Linked DNA regions of Schizosaccharomyces pombe. Changing the gene in region 2 together with the main gene of any one other region gives a genetic interaction. Each region holds a gene or a part of one and is shown on either strand. Other genes may lie near its edges.

Evidence for each region. Genes that interact genetically often act in the same process or in processes that back each other up.
Region 1: of cfr1 (region 2) and sst4, changing one enhances a phenotype caused by changing the other (phenotypic enhancement), as found in Schizosaccharomyces pombe (one study listed by BioGRID).
Region 3: mutations in cfr1 (region 2) and gga22 impair growth when combined (synthetic growth defect), as found in Schizosaccharomyces pombe (one study listed by BioGRID).

What each region holds. Positions count from the first base shown.
Region 1 is NC_003424.3:2,474,089-2,480,531, forward strand, and holds sst4 (ESCRT 0 complex subunit sst4), read left to right. Parts: upstream 1-3,782; 5' UTR 3,783-4,030; coding exon 4,031-5,863; 3' UTR 5,864-5,943; downstream 5,944-6,443. Other genes in the region: U3 snoRNP-associated protein Imp4, read left to right, coding at 629-1,498; pbr1 (putative dehydrogenase), read right to left, coding at 1,878-3,008; C-22 sterol desaturase Erg5, read right to left, coding at 6,059-6,443.
Region 2 is NC_003424.3:3,266,308-3,275,304, forward strand, and holds cfr1 (CHS5-like protein Cfr1), read left to right. Parts: upstream 1-3,889; 5' UTR 3,890-3,927; coding exon 3,928-5,790; 3' UTR 5,791-5,842; coding exon of another isoform or gene 5,843-5,958; 3' UTR 5,959-6,060; downstream 6,061-8,997. Other genes in the region: helicase Sen1, read right to left, coding at 1-1,218; syb1 (synaptobrevin family receptor), read left to right, coding at 2,004-2,205, 2,270-2,433; bouquet formation protein Bqt1, read right to left, coding at 5,843-5,958, 6,110-6,392; puf4 (RNA-binding protein), read left to right, coding at 7,828-8,997. UniProt on the Schizosaccharomyces pombe protein: Required for cell fusion, independently of fus1. Appears to have a role in transporting proteins that are involved in mating. May act as a scaffold to retain cell fusion proteins in the cisternae of the Golgi.
Region 3 is NC_003423.3:3,242,838-3,249,232, reverse strand, and holds gga22 (adaptin), read right to left. Parts: upstream 2,692-6,395; 5' UTR 2,650-2,691; coding exon 2,613-2,649; intron 2,576-2,612; coding exon 2,488-2,575; intron 2,435-2,487; coding exon 2,359-2,434; intron 2,109-2,358; coding exon 1,871-2,108; exon of another isoform or gene 1,815-1,870; coding exon 844-1,814; intron 801-843; coding exon 609-800; 3' UTR 501-608; downstream 1-500. Other genes in the region: tsr401 (20S rRNA accumulation protein 4), read left to right, coding at 1-421; rps401 (40S ribosomal protein eS4), read right to left, coding at 3,302-4,090; transcription factor TFIIH associated cyclin-dependent protein kinase Mcs6, read right to left, coding at 4,797-5,804.

The DNA.
Region 1 (6,443 bases), 790 kb from region 2:
TTGTAAGTGTAATTTTATTTAAAAGTCTAAACTTATGATCATATTAAAATACGCACATTTCGTATATATACGTGCTCAGTTGATTAGTGAAGACGAACATATAAATGATGAACGCTATAGAACAAAAAGTATTAAACTGAGACAAGTGTTTGCTACACAGTTTGGTATCCGATTTAAGGATACGTAGAACTGCGGTGAGTTTTCCTTGTGGTCTATTATATTACAATACACAGGTTGTATAAGTAGCAACTGAGTATAGGTATTGTATTAACTGGGTTATAATGTTACCTATCACTAATATAGCTCATAACTGAACTGAGGAACGAGGTTCAGCAGTAGCTCTATTTATAGTATTCAGATAATATTGATCTTAATAGATTATCATTAAGATCAATCTCCATATCGTATCATACATGGTACGATATATAATTAGAACATGTGACATATAGTGATACGCAACGTAGTGTATCATAGCGTAGTGTAGTATTGCTGACATTAGTTCGCGACCTATCCCCATGCAAAAAATATTTTCGGCATTAGTGTTAAGAACGAGGTGCATACAACTTTCGCATTGCAAACAGCTAGTTGCATACTGCAAGTGTAATTTTTTTTAATTTAATAATTTAAGATGCTTCGTCGTGCTGTTAGGGAAAGAAGACAGTTCATTTATAAGAGAAATCAAGAACTTCAAGAAGCAAAACTCAATGAAAAACGACGTGCATTAAGAAAAGCATTGGAAGGTAACAAAGAATTGAACAAAGATTTGCAGGAAGACAGTCAACTTCAAAAGGATTATAAATATGATGAAAGCAGAGCAACTCAAGAAGAGACAGAAACCAACCTTGACGATGAGTACCACCGTCTGGGTGAGAGGGAGCCAAAAGTTTTAGTTACCACCAGTCGAGAGCCCTCATCTCGTCTAGCGCAATTTGCAAAAGAAGTACGTCTCTTGATTCCCAACTCATATCGACTCAATCGTGGTAATATCGTTGTCGGAAGCTTGGTAGAAGCCGCTCGTGCCAATGATATTACCGATATAGTCATTTTGCACGAACACAGAGGTATCCCTGATGGTCTTGTAATTTCTCATCTTCCTTATGGTCCTACCTTGTCATTTTCTTTACATAACGTGGTTCTTCGTCATGATATCCCTAATACTGGTACCATGTCAGAAGCGTATCCACATCTTATTTTTGAAAATTTGACTTCAAAGTTGGGAAAGCGCGTTAAAACAGCTCTTTCTGCTTTATTTCCTCCAGACCCTAAAGATACTACACCACGTGTGGTTACATTTGCTAACACTGATGATTATATCAGTTTCCGTCACCACATTTACGCCAAAACAGGCCCAAAGCAGATTATTCTATCTGAGGCTGGTCCTCGCTTTGAGATGAAACTATTTGAAATTACCCTCGGCACCGTTGATATGGTAGACGCTGATGTGGAATGGAAATTGAAGCCTTACCAGCGTCACAAACGTGATGTTTTAGCTGAATGAGCGTAGGTATGATGGGTATGGTCAAACGGTTATTTTAGGTTCATTTGGGATACAGGTAAATAATTACAATTCTTTTATGTATAGGCAAGGCCATTAGAGTGAATGGTATCTTTGATAAATAAGGAGGCAAAACTTTCTAGTATTAGTGGTTAATGGTTATACTATTCAAAACATTAGTGAAGTAGAACATATATCAGTAGCGATTGTACTTGGGTTCCTTTTTTATATTTTAATTAGTTTACTTGAGCAATGTTTATGTACAGCTTAAAGTTTAAGCACTGTATTTGTCTTTTTAAAAATACCAACCTTTTAACTTCGGACCTACGTTATTATGGTGAATATTCCAACCAAATGACATTCCATATTTTTCGCTAAACTTCTATTTTTTTGATTTCTTGATTTTCTTCTTCTTGTATTGCTTTTCAACTTCATCAATTTGGGCATCGGCAGCTTTTATTAGTTTTTCAGCAAATTCCGGATCGGTAATTTCTTTGCGTGAATATTCAACTATCGAACATTCATTTACAAGGACGGGTTGAGTAATCGAAGCAAATTCGGGACTGCAAATAGCATGAAAAAATGATTGAGCACCATGAATAGTACCTTTCAGAAGAAGCCACCAAAACGGCCAAAGTAACAAATAAAGAAATAATCCCCAAACCTTTCCAAAGGATACAACTCTTCGAAATCCTGGAGTTCGAACGACACCTGGATTTGCCATGATGGTATGTAAATTACACGGCATTTTGTCAGGTCGTTCATGAGCTTCAGCTTTTTTCTGAAAATCATAAAGATAAGTCATCAAGGCAAGTTTGGCATTTCCCACTACCTTCCAGGGACTTTTTCGAGGATATGGATGATTAGATAAATCAAGATCGTTGAAATCTATATTACCTAAAATATATGATGAACAGGTAGCTGCAACAATTCGTACTTCCCTGTGCCCGGGCTGACCATATATAACTGGGCGGAGAATCCTAAGTAGCTGGTATGGACCTAAGAAATTTGTAGCCCATTGCAACTCAACACCTTCCTCGGTAGTTTGCCTATCCATAAATGGAGGCAGTAAAACTCCACTGCACAAAACTATCATATCCAGCCTACGAATAGGAGTGCAATCAATCCACTTTGTAGCGAACTTCCTAACAGATAACATAGAGCTCAAGTCACAGACTTCAGTATAAATTAGTTGGTTTTTTGTACGCTTTCTAAGGTCCATTATGTAATCTACAGTAAATTGATCTGGCTCTGTACGAAGTAGAATAACAACTTGAGCTCCCAGAGAAGCTAATTTCTCTACGACAACTTGTCCTATTCCAGAACTTCCCCCAGTGACCATGACTACCATTCCGTTCATTTTACGCTCCCAAGTTGTTGTTCGTCCAGAAGTCCAGAATTTAAAGGCCGCAATTGTTGAAACCGCAATCGCAGCCTTTGTATATTGAGCCCAATGTGTAATTAGATGCTCATACTTAAATTGTGCTATGTGAGCAATAATTGGAATAGGCATATTTCGTTGATTTACAAAATCTGTTGATGGAGTTGGCAAAAGGCAGCTACATACCACTGACATTGAGGTATACTAAACTCGTCTTCATATTTAATTCTTAACAATCAAAAATTTAAAACTTTTTTTTATACAATTGTTTTAACTTTAGATGGATTTAATTGTACAATTATTTAATCGCTTGACTGCTAGTGCATATTACTAATAGCAACTAGCTCCATAAATTTGACAAAGATAGGATTGAATTGTTTTTGTATATATACATAATGTAATTTATGGACCGTAAAACAGATTGCTTACAAATTGGAAAGTAAAATAGACTGTTTATATGATATATATGTGAAATTTGAAGATATACTAAATACTTGTTTTAACATAGGAAAATTAAGTATGTGTATACTACAACATTTGACATATTATTTTTTATAATATTTCAAGAAACACTGTGATAGTATATAATTCGCATAGCAAATATAAATTATTACGGTCTGTCTTATTAGCACCTACCAGAAGTACAGCACTCAATGGTGAGGTATCGTTTTCCTTCTTTGCTTATTTATGGTACCTTCAAAAAGGCTGAAACTACATTGCACGCTTTAGCTTGATCTACCTAATGAGTCTATAAACATCATCGATATTTACGACAATTAGTGTTCTCTCAATACTTGCTTTACTATATTTGCCGCTCTGCACTATCAACCGTTATACCGAGATGTGCTAAGCTGCCCGCACTATTACTTAGCAAGTTTGAGCCACGAACAATCTGTTATTGCTGTCGAGAACCAAACTCTTTCTCAAATTGAATTTTATTGGAAAGGAGGATTTACAATACATTATTTTGCCATAATTTCAAACAATCAGAAGAATTGTGCCAAAGTTGTTATACTTCACCTGCTGCTTTTGTTTATTAGGAATTTTTGAAGGCCATTGGTTATTTGTTTGGTGACAATTTAGCTTACAAATAATAAAAAGATTTCTTTTGTTTCTTAATTTCGGTTTTTCTTTTCTTCTCTATTTTCATAACGATGTCTCGGTGGTGGAATTCCAATTCTCAGTTTGCTTCCGACATAGAAAAGGCTACATCGGAAACGCTTCCTGCTGGCTCTGAAGAAATTTCATTATATTTAGAAATTTCTGATCAAATACGTAGTAAGTCTGTTGATCCGAAATTTGCTATGCGTATTCTTAAATCCCGAATTGATCATTCGAATCCGAATGTTCAAATAATGGCATTGAAGTTGACAGATACCTGCGTTAAAAATGGGGGTTCCGGTTTTTTATTGGAAATAGCTTCTAGAGAGTTTATGGATAATTTGGTATCTATTCTACGATCTCCTGCAGGAATAGACGAAGACGTTAAAATGGTCATTTTACGATACATTCAGTCTTGGGCTTTGGCAGTTCCAGATACCAATTCTCCACTTAGTTATATTATTCATGTTTATCAAAATTTAAAAGACGGTGATTATGAGTTCCCTGAGCCTTCTCAGAACATTACTAGCAAATTTTTAGATACTGAAACACCGCCCGATTGGACAGATAGTGAAGTTTGTCTTCGTTGTCGTACACCTTTTACATTCACTAATCGTAAACACCATTGTAGAAATTGCGGTGGCGTGTTTTGCAATCAATGTTCTTCAAAAACACTTTCTCTTCCTCACCTTGGAATTAACCAGCCTGTTAGGGTATGCGACAGTTGTTATTCATTACGTACGAAACCCAAAGGTTCCAAATCAAGAGCGCGAAATGAAAGGAAATTCCATGCGAAGACTAGAAAGACACCCTCTAAACCCGTAACTAATAATGAAGACGAAGATATCAAAAGAGCTATTGAGCTTTCCCTCAAAGAAATGCCTCAATCACGAGAACCTCCATCTTATGAAAGACCTTCAGAGGCCAATGTAGTTATTAGTCAAGACCAACATCTTACAGAAGACGAAGATGAAGAGCTTAAACGTGCTATTGCTATCAGCCTTGAGGAAGCACAGAAGTCATCTCAAAAGGATGACAATGTTACGGCACCTAACAATATGAATATTTCTTACCCTAGTGTTCCAGCTCACACCGTTTCAACTGATATTCGATCATCTCCTTTCTCTGGTAGGCCGAGTGATAATCCTTCTACTTTAATTTCTACTGCGGATGCTGATAACATCACTTTATATGCTACTTTGGTGCAAAAGTTAAAAAAGCTACCACCTGGGTCTATTTTTACGGAATATCAGCTACAGGAACTCCACGAAAATATGGGTGTTATGCGAACTCGTATGATGCGATCGCTTGGTGAAACAATGAGTAAATATAACGGGCTAATTCAAGCTTTGCAAAAGCTCCAAACTTGTATGCGATTGAATGATGCTCTAATAGAACAAAGACTTTCATCCACGTATGCACATCATTATATTGATTCTAGCATGGATTCAAACCGATCAATTGAACCTGAGCCGGATGTAATTAGCACTGTGAGGAATAGTTCAACCATTCCCCAGGCTTCGTCTTCTTCTGTCCCGAAAATCGTTGTCGATTCGTCTCCGGTAACAGAAAATCCCCCTAGTCATTCTGATGTGATGGGTCAGAAAGATACTATCTCCAGTTATTACTCGACGGATACAGACGTTTCTGCGAATGTAATGGGAAATCGACACGATGAAGTTGTATTTTCTGACACCGCATCTGGTGAAAAGAATACAAAATTAAATATCGATGAAAGTACCAACTATTATAATACTGATTCAATCGATAAAGTTGGAGAGCCTTTTGACGAAATTTCCTCTGGTTATGATGATTTAATGAATGGCAATGATAAGCAAGGTAATGATATTCCTGAAGTTCAAGAAGCATCTTTAATCGAGCTTTAGGTTTTAAACATCTTATAATACATATTAAATACTTAGATCAATTTATCGACAATGCATGTCTGTTTACGATCCTTTTAATATTTTTTTGTTTTTCAAAATTGATCAATTGTAACCTAAAATTCAGAATGGTGAATACATACGTAAACTAAACTAATAAACGACTATAGACTCCGAACCTGGGTAGTTATTTGTAAATCAAGCGCTCTCAGTCTCCACAGTTGCGGCAGAGACTGCTTCATTTGAAAAAGCCTCCTTGGAGTTTTTCCAGTCAACAGTTGAAGCATCAAAAGGTGAAAATTTGAGGTAACACATATCTTGAGGAAATGTCGTAGCGAAAATCATTTGAGTATCAGAGTCAGGGGTTCTTTTATGTTTCCAATCAAGCATGATACTGGCCTTTCCAATGCAAGCAATTAAATGATTAACGGCATAACGCTGGCCCAAACATACATGAGGACCATTACCAAAAACCATCCAATTCTTAGGACTTTGCTCGGCAAGACCATTTGGTGCCCAGCGGTCAGGATTAAATGTTTCTGGCTCTGGATAAACCTTAGAATCGTGAAGTGCACCATAGAGG
Region 2 (8,997 bases):
AATGTCATAAAGTAAAGAGTGCAATCTGAGTTTCAGCATGTACTCCGGATAATCTTGTAAAATAGTGATGCTATTAGCATTCATCAACGATAGTGTATTGTTAAGAAATGAAGGAGAGCTGTAATCTAGCGATAATAGATCAAATAACGCATCCAAAACCGAATAAATGATGAAACCTATAGTACGCTTCTCTTCTACAAATCCTTTAAGCCATTCCGGAAAAACACTAACAAAGTCATTTAAACATGTGCGAAAAAATGAAGCAATAATGTAAGCCCAGTTCATGTCAGATACTTCAAAAGGTGTAGCTGTAACATTTTTTAGCAAGTTTTTTAAGAAAGAAGACACTTCCTTAAATGAATCAGCGGCAGACCAAAAGGATGAGGAATTGCAGCAAATTCGAAGACAGGACATTTGTTGAGAGGATAGAGATTCAGAAGTCTTTACCAAATTTAAAAGATAATCTTTTAAAATGGACTCACATGCAGCAGTAATGGATTGTAAAGGAAGAAGTTCTAAAAACATGTAAGTACGTTCCCAAAATTCAGGACTACTTATAGACACGAAATTACAATCACTGTCAGAGGAATTTTGACTTTCAAACACTACAGTATTAAAAACGGCGTCAACTGTAGCAGAAGAAATTCTTATTTCAGTATTTTCCTTAAAAAAGCTATGAACCCATTCCAAAACATCGGGATGGGAAGCTTCATAGAAAAATAGTAAATAACCAGGAAGAAATATATTAGAACACCAATCTGAAAGTAGACCATTAAATGCATCTATTGCATTTTTATAAATATTTTTACAGGTAAACAATTTAGGATTCAAGAGGGTTTCGAAAATTAAGCAAGGCAAAGACGTGAAGTCAATTGTTTCATCCTCCAGGGCCTTGAAGTCCTCTAAGACACGGATAATATCCCATTTATTCCACTTTTCCTGTAAATCGGTAATTGAAAACCCAGTAAAAGAATATGAACCTTTCGCAAGGGATTCATTTCGAAGTTCATAATAAGCTTGTATACAAGAAGTACAAGAGCGTAAACGCTCATGATAGGCATTTAATACCCATTTAAAGCTCGGAGTTTCATCATGTGCAAACCAAAAGAAGGTAGGTTGTATATACTGAGTCAGTAGTCCTGAGCAAAACCAATGCTGACCCTCTTTACTAGACGATAATTTTTCAAAACAATCTTGATCGCTAAGATTCTCCGCCATTTGTAACAATCAAATTTAATATTTTTTTAATGTTATGAAGTAAATAATATTTTTTTTGGAAATTTCAACCTGTTTTTCTGATAAAAGAGTGAAAACAAAAAAACAAACAAAAGAAATGTAGGTAAGTGAGTATTGTCTCTTTTTTAAAGACTTTTTTCTAATAAATGTATGATTAAATGGACCCAAATAAACGTTGTTTCACCGATAGACCAAAAACCCAGGAAAAATCTAATATTGCAAGTGCCAAAACCAAAACCCTAATCCAGACGTAAATCGTAACGTAAATAAAATTTTATTTACAAAAGATCTCAAGAATAAAATAACAAATAACGTTTCGGACGCTACAGCGATGAGAGGAGACCTTTTAACACTATGTGAAAGTTAAAACTTTCATAAAAATTTCATAACTCAAGGAAATTTAGAAGAAGAAATATATTGTTATGAACAGCTCAAATCGCCAAGAAACAAGACGTGTTTCCAAATCTCTATTCCAAAGGGCGTAGTTGGTTCCTCCCAAATTCACCAATACTAAGGATTTGTTTACGTTATTTACTATGAGGGTACAGCTAGTTACATGTTTCTTATTGTAAAAAGGCAAGAAGTAATTTTATTACTTTATTTTATTTTTTTTCTTTAATTTATATAAGTATAATCACAAAACTGCTTTGCAACCCAACATTACAAAGCCAGATGTTTAACGCAATGGAAAGAGGATTAACGAATTGGTACACATCAACTCCAACCGAGCGCAAAAATAAATCCTCCACCAACTAACACATACGACCATGTCTGAGCCATATGACCCATATATCCCGGCGGAGCCTTCTGCAGCTGTTCGTAGTGGAAATGCTGCTGCTTCGTCGACGCCGAATATGAAGACAGCTGCAATTCAGCAGCAGATTGACGATACTGTGGGGATTATGCGTGAAAACATTTCTAAGGTTTCAGAACGTGGAGAACGCCTTGATTCTTTACAAGATAAAACAGGTATGATATTTATTTTTGTTAACAGTTAAATTTTTTTTTTGAACGTTTAGCTAACTTCTTTAAGATAACCTTGCTGTTAGCGCGCAAGGCTTCCGTCGTGGCGCCAATCGTGTTCGCAAGAAGATGTGGTGGAAGGACATGCGTATGCGTCTTTGCATTATCATTGGTATCATCATTTTACTTGTTGTCATTATTGTTCCTATCGCAACAAAATTTCATGGCAAGTAAGAAGATGTATCATGTAGCTTAGTCGCATGCCGAGTCAAAATATTTGCTGTTTGAATACTTTTTTTTCAAGCGTATTTTTGTCTCTGGTTTTTTTCTTCCTTCTCTCTTTCTTTCTCTCTTGCCTGACACAACAACCTATAAATCGAATTTTAAGAAAAAAGCTTCTGATGTAGACAGGGCCACTTTTTTTGCAAAGAGATAACGCATTTTTTCTCAAGATCCTTTATTCGTTTTTATTTTTCTTGCATATACATACTTGATGACTGACGGGTCAATGATAGTGAATACCAGGTTGGTTTTTTGTTGAGCAATTTGGTTTTGGCCTGTATTGCTTTTTCCTCTTTTCTTCTTTCTACACCTCACCATACATATCATGGGCCTTGCTTGCTTGACAAAGGAAATCTTTATGGATACAAAATTATCATTACTTTCCGTACTTAAGATGGTAAATAGAATTTTTGTTTCCTTCTCGGTATTTCTTTTCTATTCCGCTCTTTATATGGATAACCCTATAGCATAAAGATGGATAATGTTTTAATGTATACAGATTAGCCTCGATATTCCATTTGTCTACGGCTTTTTTCTAATTCTTCAAAAGTACTTAGTACGGGAGCAAATTTGTTATCTTATTTTCATATTTTTCCTTTAGAAGCTAGCTTCTTTTTATACTGATTATTGCACTGATAGGTGTATTAAAAAACCACTATTCTTAATTAATTTTATAGAGTGAAATGTGTAAACCTGATAATTAGGAAATATTTTTTAAGTTTGCTCACACGTGGTTTTATATCCAGATTAACAATTGTATTATTTTTCGACTTCTATTTTGCTCAACAGATATTGTGGTCTAATCCTTCATTCGTGTAGTATTTTAAATTTTGAATGCAGCACGGTTTACGAATTAAGATATATTCATCAACTGGGTTCAACAGTACTGCATTTGTTTTTGTTTACTATCAATGTAACTTAACGTAATTTAGAATTTAATTGTATCAGAAAGTAGTATATTTGCTCCCCTTAAAATGCTTTAGTCTGAAGAATAGATAATAATAGCCCAATATTTTAATAATTTAGATGATTGAAAAAATCAACAGATTTTTTTGTAATATTGTTTGTATGAATTCTCGTTGAAATATAATAATAAACTACATATATTAAATCGTTCACTTTTACTGAGTGATTGAATTAAATATATCTTCAAATATTTGTATATAATTTTAATAAATTGTAATTGTCTTCCTTACTAGAATTACGCTTATAATGATACTAACCAGAAAATTTAAAAAATATATAAGTTTGATATGTAAATAGATTGTGAAAAACCAGGGAATCACAACAACTCTTGATATTTATCAAAACAAAGATGATTATAACCTACATTTTTACTACGGTTCCTTAGGTAACAAGTGCTACCTATAGTTAGAAGTGTAAGAGTGCTGGTTAAGGTAAACACTCCACCACAACCAAAGGGGATTATCAATAATAGCATCTAAAATGGATGATACAAATCAATTTATGGTGTCTGTGGCCAAAATAGATGCGGGAATGGCCATCTTATTGACACCTTCATTTCATATTATAGAATTTCCATCCGTGTTGCTGCCGAATGACGCGACTGCAGGCTCTATAATCGATATCTCTGTGCATCACAATAAAGAGGAAGAGATAGCAAGAGAAACTGCATTCGATGATGTTCAAAAAGAAATTTTTGAAACATATGGCCAAAAATTGCCGTCTCCTCCTGTTCTTAAGTTAAAGAATGCTACTCAGACTAGCATTGTATTGGAATGGGATCCTTTACAACTCTCCACTGCGAGACTCAAAAGCCTTTGCTTGTACCGTAATAATGTTCGAGTGCTTAACATATCTAATCCCATGACTACTCACAATGCCAAGCTGAGTGGCTTATCTCTCGATACAGAATACGATTTTTCCCTTGTTTTGGATACGACTGCGGGAACATTTCCCAGCAAACACATTACCATCAAAACGTTAAGAATGATAGATCTCACAGGAATTCAAGTGTGTGTTGGCAACATGGTTCCCAATGAGATGGAGGCTTTACAAAAGTGTATTGAACGCATTCACGCTAGACCAATTCAAACTAGCGTTCGTATCGATACAACTCATTTTATCTGCTCTTCTACTGGGGGTCCTGAGTACGAAAAGGCAAAAGCTGCCAATATCCCTATTTTAGGTTTGGATTATTTGTTGAAATGCGAATCTGAAGGACGTTTGGTGAACGTTAGTGGTTTTTACATCGAAAATCGCGCTTCTTACAATGCTAACGCTTCTATTAATTCTGTAGAAGCTGCGCAAAATGCTGCACCAAATCTCAATGCTACAACCGAACAACCGAAGAATACCGCTGAAGTTGCTCAAGGTGCTGCATCAGCTAAAGCTCCACAGCAAACAACCCAACAGGGAACTCAAAATAGTGCAAATGCTGAGCCATCTAGTTCAGCTTCTGTTCCGGCTGAAGCGCCTGAAACTGAGGCTGAGCAATCAATCGATGTTTCCAGCGACATTGGTTTACGAAGTGATTCTAGTAAGCCCAATGAAGCTCCAACTTCTTCGGAAAACATCAAAGCGGATCAGCCAGAAAATTCTACAAAGCAGGAAAATCCCGAAGAGGATATGCAAATAAAGGATGCTGAGGAACATTCGAATCTGGAAAGTACACCTGCTGCCCAGCAAACTTCCGAAGTTGAAGCTAACAATCATCAAGAAAAACCATCTTCTTTGCCAGCCGTTGAGCAGATTAACGTGAACGAAGAAAACAATACCCCGGAGACTGAAGGACTTGAAGATGAAAAAGAAGAAAATAATACAGCCGCTGAATCTTTAATCAATCAAGAAGAAACTACCTCCGGTGAAGCAGTTACAAAGAGTACTGTTGAATCCTCAGCGAATGAGGAAGAAGCTGAACCTAACGAAATAATTGAAGAGAACGCTGTTAAATCTTTATTGAATCAAGAAGGACCTGCAACTAACGAAGAGGTTGAAAAAAACAATGCTAATTCTGAAAATGCGAATGGCTTGACAGATGAGAAAATAATCGAAGCCCCTTTAGATACTAAGGAAAATTCAGACGATGATAAGCCATCTCCCGCAGCAGCTGAAGATATTGGTACTAACGGTGCAATTGAGGAAATCCCTCAAGTTTCTGAAGTCTTAGAGCCAGAAAAAGCGCATACTACTAACTTGCAACTGAATGCGCTCGATAAAGAAGAAGATCTAAATATTACTACAGTTAAGCAAAGTTCGGAACCTACGGCTGATGACAATCTAATACCCAACAAAGAAGCAGAAATTATACAATCTTCTGACGAGTTTGAAAGTGTAAACATTGATTAATGACATTGATCTCTTGTATTCTGCAGTCTTTTTTTTTTCTTATGTTTATATGTTAACATTCTACGAATATCCTCCACTTTTCCAATCGTTTGACTAAAGGCACATGGGAACCATTTTGAACTGTAATGCTCTGGTATCCTTGCAGTCTTCTAGACCATGGAAGTACATCTAAACTCATTTAGCATTAGTAAATATATAGCTTCGGATTTTTTTTTCGTTCTCTAATAAATTTTTTTTTTTAAATTAAATCAACTAGGTCAAAAATGGGTAATGGGAGGTTTTGAAATTATGTTTCATTATACTGATAGACAGAACTTACAATATCGTAGTTTGAAATTCGTGCTGGCGTCTTCTTCCATATGTATCAATGATTCTTTATTTTGACCTTGGCAAAGCAAAGCGAATTGCCATATATTCGGAAATATCGAGTATAAATATTCTATCCTTTCAATTGAAACTTGAATAAGGCTGTGTTTTAAAAATCTAGCATGCTCACAGTTTGAATCAGTGCATACAGGTGTTTGAGTATAAATCGCGATTTGGGTTAAATATTCTACTTTGTTTTGTTCAAAAGAAATAAGCGTCGTAGTTAATAAATGCATTTTGTTTAAATCAGTATCATTTAGGATGGGTGAAAGGATTTTTTTTTAAAACGCGTCGTTTGTAGAAGAAGAGGTGCATAAAATATGAACACACCACATATAATAATAAGAGGATAGACATTAAAGCCAACAACCTATTAAAAGTGTAAATTTGAAATCAAAAAAGATTAAAAAAAAGAATAGGAATCGACTTCTTTTACACAAAGAAATCCACACCTATTTGATATTAGCTTGGACATCCTCTATTGACGACTGCATTTTCTGATAGCACAAACAAGACTTTTTCAGACTTAAATGAAAATTAAATAAACCAACAGTGGGTTTTTTAGGGAAACCTAAAAATTCAGAGAATCTTAAGCAAGTTCTCTGTTTTGCTTTACATAACAATCTTTAACGCCCACAACGTTGTAAAGATATCACCTATAAAAATAAAAAAATTACGCTTTTGAGGAATAGATGTGCTTTTTTATACATATGTTTATTCAAAATACAGCTCACTGTCTTAATCTGCTAAAGTAGTAGACCTTGTTTACCTATCATCTTTAGAGTGCATTAAGCAGTTGTTAAGCGAAAATTGCGTCATCTATTAGTGAGCCTCTGTTTACAAGTTGACGGCTGTTTATGAGTTTTGAAGAAGGAATCCAAAAATAAATTTGATTTTCACTGAAAATCTATGAAATAAATATGTAGCGACTAATCATACACAACAATTGTATCAAGTTGCCGACATAAAAATACCAGCTGGCTCAACCTTTATAGATACTTTTGAAGAGCTCTTATAAGCATTAATTAATGTTCGAATGATGTAGTTATTGCTTAAAAAAAAGAACCGCCTGGCGTTATTCTCGAGTAAAAGTAAAATCAACATGTGCAACGAAGGAATGGATGCACTGACTGCCGTCAATTTCTCTCAGCCGTCCTCCCAATAAAAATCATTAAGACATGTTATTAAAAACATTAAAAGGCATACCAACGGGTGTTGTATCTTACAAATCACCTCATGGGATCTGTTTTTTGTCAAACTACGGCATTACGCCTTACAAGAAAAAATGTAGAGAGTGAAACGAAACTGAATTGGGATGATTCTTAGCATTTAAAAAAATTGTTTTTGTCTTCGAAGCACAAATTTCACATTTTCTCTTTTTTTTCAAATCCTTCCTGCTTCTTCCTTAGTAAGTTGCGTTACCCGTAGTGTTACCTGCTGTCGGTACAATACATCTCACAGTAAGCATGGTTTCCACTCCACACACTGTACAGTCGCCTGCTTAAAGTAAAGTAGAGGTTGTGTTTTTTGTGTTGTATCGTTCTTCTCTACATCTTTTTGTTTGTATCGGGACAGGAAATAGTTTGGGAAAAATCCCCCACTAAGAACAATTTATCCCACGGACTGTTAATATATGACAACAGGTAATCCTTCGCAAAACATAAGCGTAGCATGACCGAGCAGTCTTCTAAATCTCATCCATCCTTTATGTCTACAGAATATTCGCTTCCAGTCTTTTCTTCACAGTACTCTGATATTGAGAATAAAGATGTATTGAAATCGAATTCTTGGGATCCATATGCCGCTAATGCGCCGATTGCTTTGTCTGAGATCCCTTCATCTTCTAAATCCGGAAAAACAAATGGTTCAAAAGCCGCTGTGGAAAGCGGTTTGGCATCCGGCGCTTTCGGAAACCGTACTGGGAACATGAACCGGAATACTAGCATGAGTGGATACACGTTCGGATCTTCGAATTTCGTTCCCTATAACCTTCTTTCTAACACTCCTTCTTTCACTACTTCTCACTCTTCATCAACAACTTTTGTTCCGCCTGCGACTATGGGCGGTGGATTGAATAATTTGTCATCTCCATCTTCTTCTTTATACTTGCCTGGCTCTGCTTCATACCAAAGAAGTAACTCTAAAAATAGCTCGGCTTCTATCTTACAAATGAATACGACGTTAGATGACATCCCCATACTTTTACGTCGTCCTGGATTGTCTTCGTACACGCCCGGACCTTCTACTTCTCGCCGAAGCATCTCTTCGTCGTCGAATCTTGGAGGTAATCCTGGCTTGATCGCCAATAATCCTTCGGCTTCTAAAAACTTTGCCTTTACTTCAGGTTCTTCGTCGACTAATAATTCTACTACTTCTTCTTCATCAATGGCCAATGGTCTGCAATCTATTTCAAAGCATTCAGCGGCCTTCCCTCTACTTTCTAATGCCACTTCTTTCTTTGGTGAAAATTTAACTCCGTCTTTGGCTGCCTCAACGGCCAGTACGGGCAGTACTGACAGCTCTGGCTCAAATATCGCTAACACACTCATTGCTCCGACACCGACTATTTCTCCTCCTTCGGCTAATACTGTAGGAAATCCGAGTCCTGCTGATACCCCTGGGTTTAACGTGCCTAGTTTGATATCCGATGACCCTAGCGTGTCTTCCTCTCTCTCTTCTTCGGTTGCATCTCTTTCATTGCAAAATAGCAATATTCTTTCGTTCTGTAAGGATCAACATGGCTGTCGTTATTTACAGCGACTTCTAGAAAAGAAAAATCAATCTCACATTGACGCCGTTTTTGCTGAAACCCATCCTTATTTAGCTGTGTTAATGGTTGAT
Region 3 (6,395 bases), on a different chromosome or scaffold from region 2:
TTACACCCCATACTTGAATGACAGCAGTGAAGCTTGGGAGAAAGAAAGTTATGAGAAATCCCCTAGTGTGTATGAAAAAACGTTTAGACTATTCAGCGAAAAGATATCCCATAACCCAACTCAATGTCTACGTTATGAACGAGGTGGTACACCACTGCTTGCATCTGGTAGAGATAAGCTCGGTCAGCAACTGAAGTCTGTTACTAATTTTGGAAAAAGCCCGGTGCCGCTGTGCCCTCTTTGCAAATCGCCTCGTTTATTCGAAATGCAGCTTATGCCACATGCGATATCCATTCTCAATGACGAAATAGCAGAATGGTCTACTATACTGGTCGCTACATGTTCGATGGATTGCAATCCTCCGATCAACAAAGATAGAGTTGGTTATGCAGTAGAATGGGTTGGAATTCAGTGGGATTAGAGCTCAACTTTTAAATGAGGCTTACTAAAAAATTGGGGAAAATAATGTGCAATTCTTAGTTACTTAAAATTTGCTTCTCTTCTGTTACGTTACATAATGTATTTCATAGTCGACGAAATTGTTAAGTGGTATAAGGAAATTACTTAGATAGTGTAAATGATATACTTAGTGATAATAAAGATAAACTTTAGAGTAGCCTAATTGAAGATTGACCAGTGTATTCTTGGGACCTACCATTTACCTTGTAAGTCAGTTTAAACCGTACAGGTAGTTCTGTGACATCCAGTAACTTAGTCACAATCATTTCCTGGTAAATACCGTCTTTCTGGAGAGGTGAAAGATTAGTTCCAGATTGGGGTTGAAGTACAAGATTATATTTCTATTGAAGGTTAGAGCATATCCAGTAAAAAAAATAAACATACCTTGGGAACTGCAATAAACGATTGTAAATTCTCGACAGTATCATAGGGACTTAAATTAGTGTAAGTAGCCAGTAAAACTACTTGATCTCTAGTTTTACTTTTAGGGGTTATCTGAAAATTTAAGTGAGAGTTTTCAAATGCGCAAGTAGAAGTAAAATTGTTAATGGGAACATTGGGCGATGAATTAGACACGGGGGAATTGAAAGATTCAGTAAGCGAGATGGCACCAACTTCGGCAGGCGCTTCGACAGTACCCAAAAGACTTTGCGAAAGACTTTCCATATTAAAAGAAGAAGTAGGCATTTGAGAAGATGAGGCTGGTAAAGAAGGAGATTGAGCATCAGATCCTATGTCTAAATCGATAAGTAAATCCATGGCACTTTGAGTATTAGATGCATTAGCCGAGGTTTTGGAATTACTCTTTGCCGATTCAGTAGTAGCTTGAAGAAGCGAATTGTTATCGGCAGCAACGGTACGAGCTGATGAAAAATCGCCTTCCAGTAAGTGGTCATATTGGGTCAGTAAAGATGCGATTAACGATTTCAAATCGCTAACAGTCACGTAAGAGTCATCTTCCGGACTCATTTCTTCTAATATCTTATCAACCTTACGCTGAGCAGCCTTCAAGGAATAGGCCAGCTCATCGTACAAATCACCACTGGCTAGTTTATCGGATTCAGAAACTTCATTCAACATTTCACCAAACAGAGCTGCTTTTCTTTTGACTTTTTCTAAATCTACGAGAACATGTTCCTTATATTTTTGCTTTTGCTCAGTGTCGTAACCAGCCATAACTTTCATAAGTTTGTTGGCTTCAGCCAAATCTGCCGGAGTACCGCGACGAATTAGTTCCTGTAGTTTAGCAGACATAGCTTCTCTGTCTTCCTTTTCAAGTTCTTCTGCTGTTTTTAGAACAGATTTTTGACTTAAAACAGCAAGATTCTCTTTATCGATTTCAGGAAATGTATAGCCTAAAGTGGTTAACTCGGAAATTATAATCGAGATTTCAAGTTAACTGAATACAAACCTTTGTAAGATAAAAGTCGGTGCATATCCCTAATAAAACCGAGGTCTTCTTTATAACGATCAACACGACAAATGGTTTTCCGCCATTCCTCAATTAAAGAAAGAATCATGACTTGGATTTTGTTCAAGCGAGAAGGTGGGCGCTCTGGAAATCTTCTTACTAATTCGTTTAAGAATTCTTTAGAAGCAATTTGTAAACGAAAGGCATATCCACAATTTTTGACGCAAATATCAAGAAGCTAGAAAATGTTAGCACAAAAGGCATTTGAAAAAAACGTGAAAAAAAAAGGGCTCAGCAAAATTTATAATAAATTTAACAAAAATCTATTTTATACAAATCACAATAACCAGATTGGAATTCTGAAGGTTCAGCACTTAAGATTGTTTCGTTCAGAAAATAAACAAGTTATAAAAGCAGTACCATATCAAATAATGCGAAGTAACTTCTAAGTGAAAAACAAAGTTGTGAAAAATTAAAACAGAACATACATTTAAAGCCAGATAGGCAACTGTTGGATTGCGATCATTGACCTTACGAACAATGGCAAAGGCAGCTTCTCGAGGCCTATAAAATAATAAACACGTTAGTATAATCAATATTATAAGTGAATTTCCTACAAATTTCCGCCAGTTTGATTAATCAAATCAGCGATATCCAAATTAACCGCTAGATCTGGTTCAAAAGCGTACGGCTCGGTCGCATTTTCTGCAGTTAGCAACTATAAAGTAATGTAATTTCTTACGAATTAAACTGTATAGTCTTCTTTTAGCGCTAGACATTAAGTCAATAATTCCAAATTGTTACAGCAGAGCGGCTTAATCAAAGATATTCAACTACAGCTTCAATGCTTAAAGTCTATGAAAATTGCGTATCTCTCTGTATTATGGTAGACGTCCAATTTCGTCATTATTCTAAATAAGGATACGAGTTTAAGTAACCATAAAACTTGCGGCCAAGCGCTCACTATTCACGTAGCCTTTTTGGTTGTTGATGTTTACCTGCCAACAATGTGACTCTTCTCAGTTAGTTTTTTCAAAAATATAATTCTACTAGAAAAAAATTTAACCTCGCTTTCGCTCGTAGGAAATTGTTTTGTTGTATTACGTTTGACTTGAAATTTAGTAACAAATAAGAAAACTAGAGTATTTTACCAACACGCATATCCAACTAAGAAATTATTCACATTCTTTAGCTAACAAACCTCTCCAACTGGTGAATTCGAAAGTATTATCGAAGATCATCATTGAATTTTTAAAAAGACAGGTCACACAACACAACGATTTACAAGAATTATTAATGCTACTATTACTTATGCACGCGACATATCTAAAATGAGTTTAAAGTTACATGTCTTAAAATCAACACAAAATTACGAAAACGCATCCATCATATTATAACAAAATGTGCATTTGCTTTTTGAAAAAATAATATTTAGGCAAGTCCCTTGAGAGCACGTCTGCGGTCACGCTCTTCGGTAATGCTGAGCTTGACACCCTTACCCTTGGGCAAAGAAATCCAACTCTTGCCAGTCTCGCCAATGACAAAAACGTTGGAAAGACGAGTAGCAAACTCACGGTCCAAAGCATCCTTAACATGAATGATTTCAAAGGAACCAAGATGGTGCTCACGATGGACAATGGTACCAACACGTCCCATGTTACGACCACCGGTAACCATAACTTGAGCGGAAGTATCAAATTTAATGAACGACTCGATCTTGTTGGTTTCCAAGTTAAGTTTTATGGTGTCGTTGACCTTGATCAATGGATCGGGATAACGAATAGTACGTCCATCATGGGTGACGAGAAAAGGAACACCCTTAGCACCTAATTGAACACGCTTGACCTTGCAAAGCTTGTATTTAGCCTCTTCAGCAGTAATACGGTGGACAGTGAAACGGCCCTTAATGTCATAGACAAGGCGGAAGTGCTCACCAGTCTTTTCAACGGAGATCACATCCATAAAGCCGGTAGGGAAAGTAGAGTCGGTACGAACCTTTCCATCTACCTTAATGAGACGTTGCATAAGGATAGCCTTAACCTCACGTCCGTTCAAAGCATATTTAAGACGGTTACGCAAGAAAACAATCAAAGGAAGGCACTCACGGGCCTTATGAGGACCTGGAGAAGGCTTTGGAGCGTAAGTTCCGGAGAGCTTGTCCAAAAGCCAGTGGTGAGGGGCAGCAACACGCTTCAAATGCTTTTTAGGACCTCGAACCATTTTTGGTGGATGCAGTATTCAATATCCAAAATTTTGGCCAAGTGTCAAAAGATGTGACTGCTTTGTATAGAATATCGATGCCGAGTGCACCACAGTAGCCTATTTAACTGTCAAAGTACTCGCTCGTTTAATAATTAAATTAGAAACCGTAACGTACCACGTTAATAATTTAATGAGTTTTTGGACGTACCAGTTTTCCAGAAAAGCTGGAGTACGATTTACAAGAAGGCTTTCGCTAGTCTATTGATTAATTCATATTGTATAAAACTTATATATAAGAGATTTAACGATCTTATAAATACATCATAATTCTAGCTTTACTACCAAATATGTTAAAAACATGGATTGCATGTTTACATAAATCATTAAACGTTGGAATGAGTATTGTATTATCAGATGAAAATAAGAGTGTCCATAATTCTGAAATATGGTTAGAAAAAGCAATCAATTTCCATTAACTCTTAAGCAATGGGCGATAATACCTCAAAGAGTACCGCAAGGAAATGAAGCTAAGTAGAAGATATTTTCGTATAACGTTGATATCGAAATTATCAGCGAGTAGAGTAAACGTCTAAAAAATAGAATGACAATTATCTAAACAGAAAAATCCGCATACAGTCACATCATTCCAATTTTTCTGTAGGGAAACATGAATGAGAAAAGAATGGTATATAGTTAAAGGTGCATACTAGCACACGATCAATCATTAAACAAATTTAATATTTGCACGCATTGGAAAGTTGTTTTGTCGCTGCAGGTCACTAGAGACGTGCTTGATTCCTTCCTCACCCCCTTTGCGTGGGAGAAGAGAAGGATGTGTGGGTTTAGGAAGGGCAGAAAAATAATGATGCTCAAGGGCTTGTTGAGCAGTGGGACGACGATATGGATTGTAATCCAACATCATCTTGAGTAAATCAATTTCTTCATGGCCAGCTGCCGAAAAAAGAGCCTCCATACCACCGTTAGGAGGAGGAATGTGTTTCATCTCAACGTAGTTGGGAAGCTGTTGCATGCTTTTAATGACCTCTGGTTCAGGAGTTCCAAGAGCGCGGAAAATTACGTTAAGCTGATCCAGATCAGATTCGCCTGGCAAATACGGGGTCCTAAGCATCAACTCTGCAAAAATGCAGCCTACACTCCACATATCAACACCGGTGCCATAGCTTCGACAACCCATAAATAGCTCTGGAGGCCTGTACCATCGTGTAATGACCTGATGACTCATGTGGCTTGGGGTGCCAAAATCACGAGAAAGGCCAAAATCAGCCAATTTTAGGACACCGTCACTCGAAATTAAAAGGTTATTAGGCTTCAAATCTCGATGAAGGATGAAGCGAGAATGAATGTGATGCAAACCGCGTAACAACATGACCATCCACGATTTGATGTGGGCAGGTTGAAAAACGATGAATTTGTCTTTGATCAGCATTTCCAAATCACTGTCCAGGAATTCCAAGATGATGTTGAGGTTGGACTTTGTGGAGAATACATCAACTAACTCGATGACATTGTCGTGCCTTGACTCCCGAAGAAATTTGATCTCTCGTAAAGCACTTATATCGATACCATCTTTGAACTGGCCCACTTTAATCTTTTTAATAGCCACACGCCGATTAGTTTCTTTTTGGCGACCCAGGAACACGACGGCATACGTTCCTTCACCAACTTTGCGCTCCTTCACATACGTCCACTTGTCAGACTTTTCGATATCCATAACGAGAAACCTTAACCCCTATACTATTAATTACAGAGTACTTTAGAATACAGTGGTAAGTAAATTGAGGACAGGTTTGTATAGCAGTATGATGGTATGGTAGTGAAGCTATATACAACAAAAACACACAAACAATTCCAGCAAGACTTTTTCTTATAGGGAAAACCTTTTTACAAGAGCTTTCTCGATGTGTATATAAATGAAGTAGGTACTTAACACACTACTTCGCAACGCAATCTTTTGATCTTTATACTACTCCCAACGTTTGTAAGCAAACACCCACGTTTTAAATTAAGATGGAAGAAATTCACCAATATATGTATTCAGGATTCTCGGTTTAGCAAACGTTACCGCATGGCTTTCGTAATCTTGTAAAACGCTAATTCATCGACTTGGACTCAACAAAGCAGGAATGGTCGAAAGGACCCACAAATTTGGTTCATTATTGGTGTAGCAATAATTACAGTGACTACTAAGGGATGGGTAGCATGTCACTTTTGTGGTAAATTTTAAGATTCGATTAGTCTGGGGTTTATCGACCAGCATCGTGTGTGGAGTCAGTGTAAGGGGCTCTGTGGCTTATCTTGAATG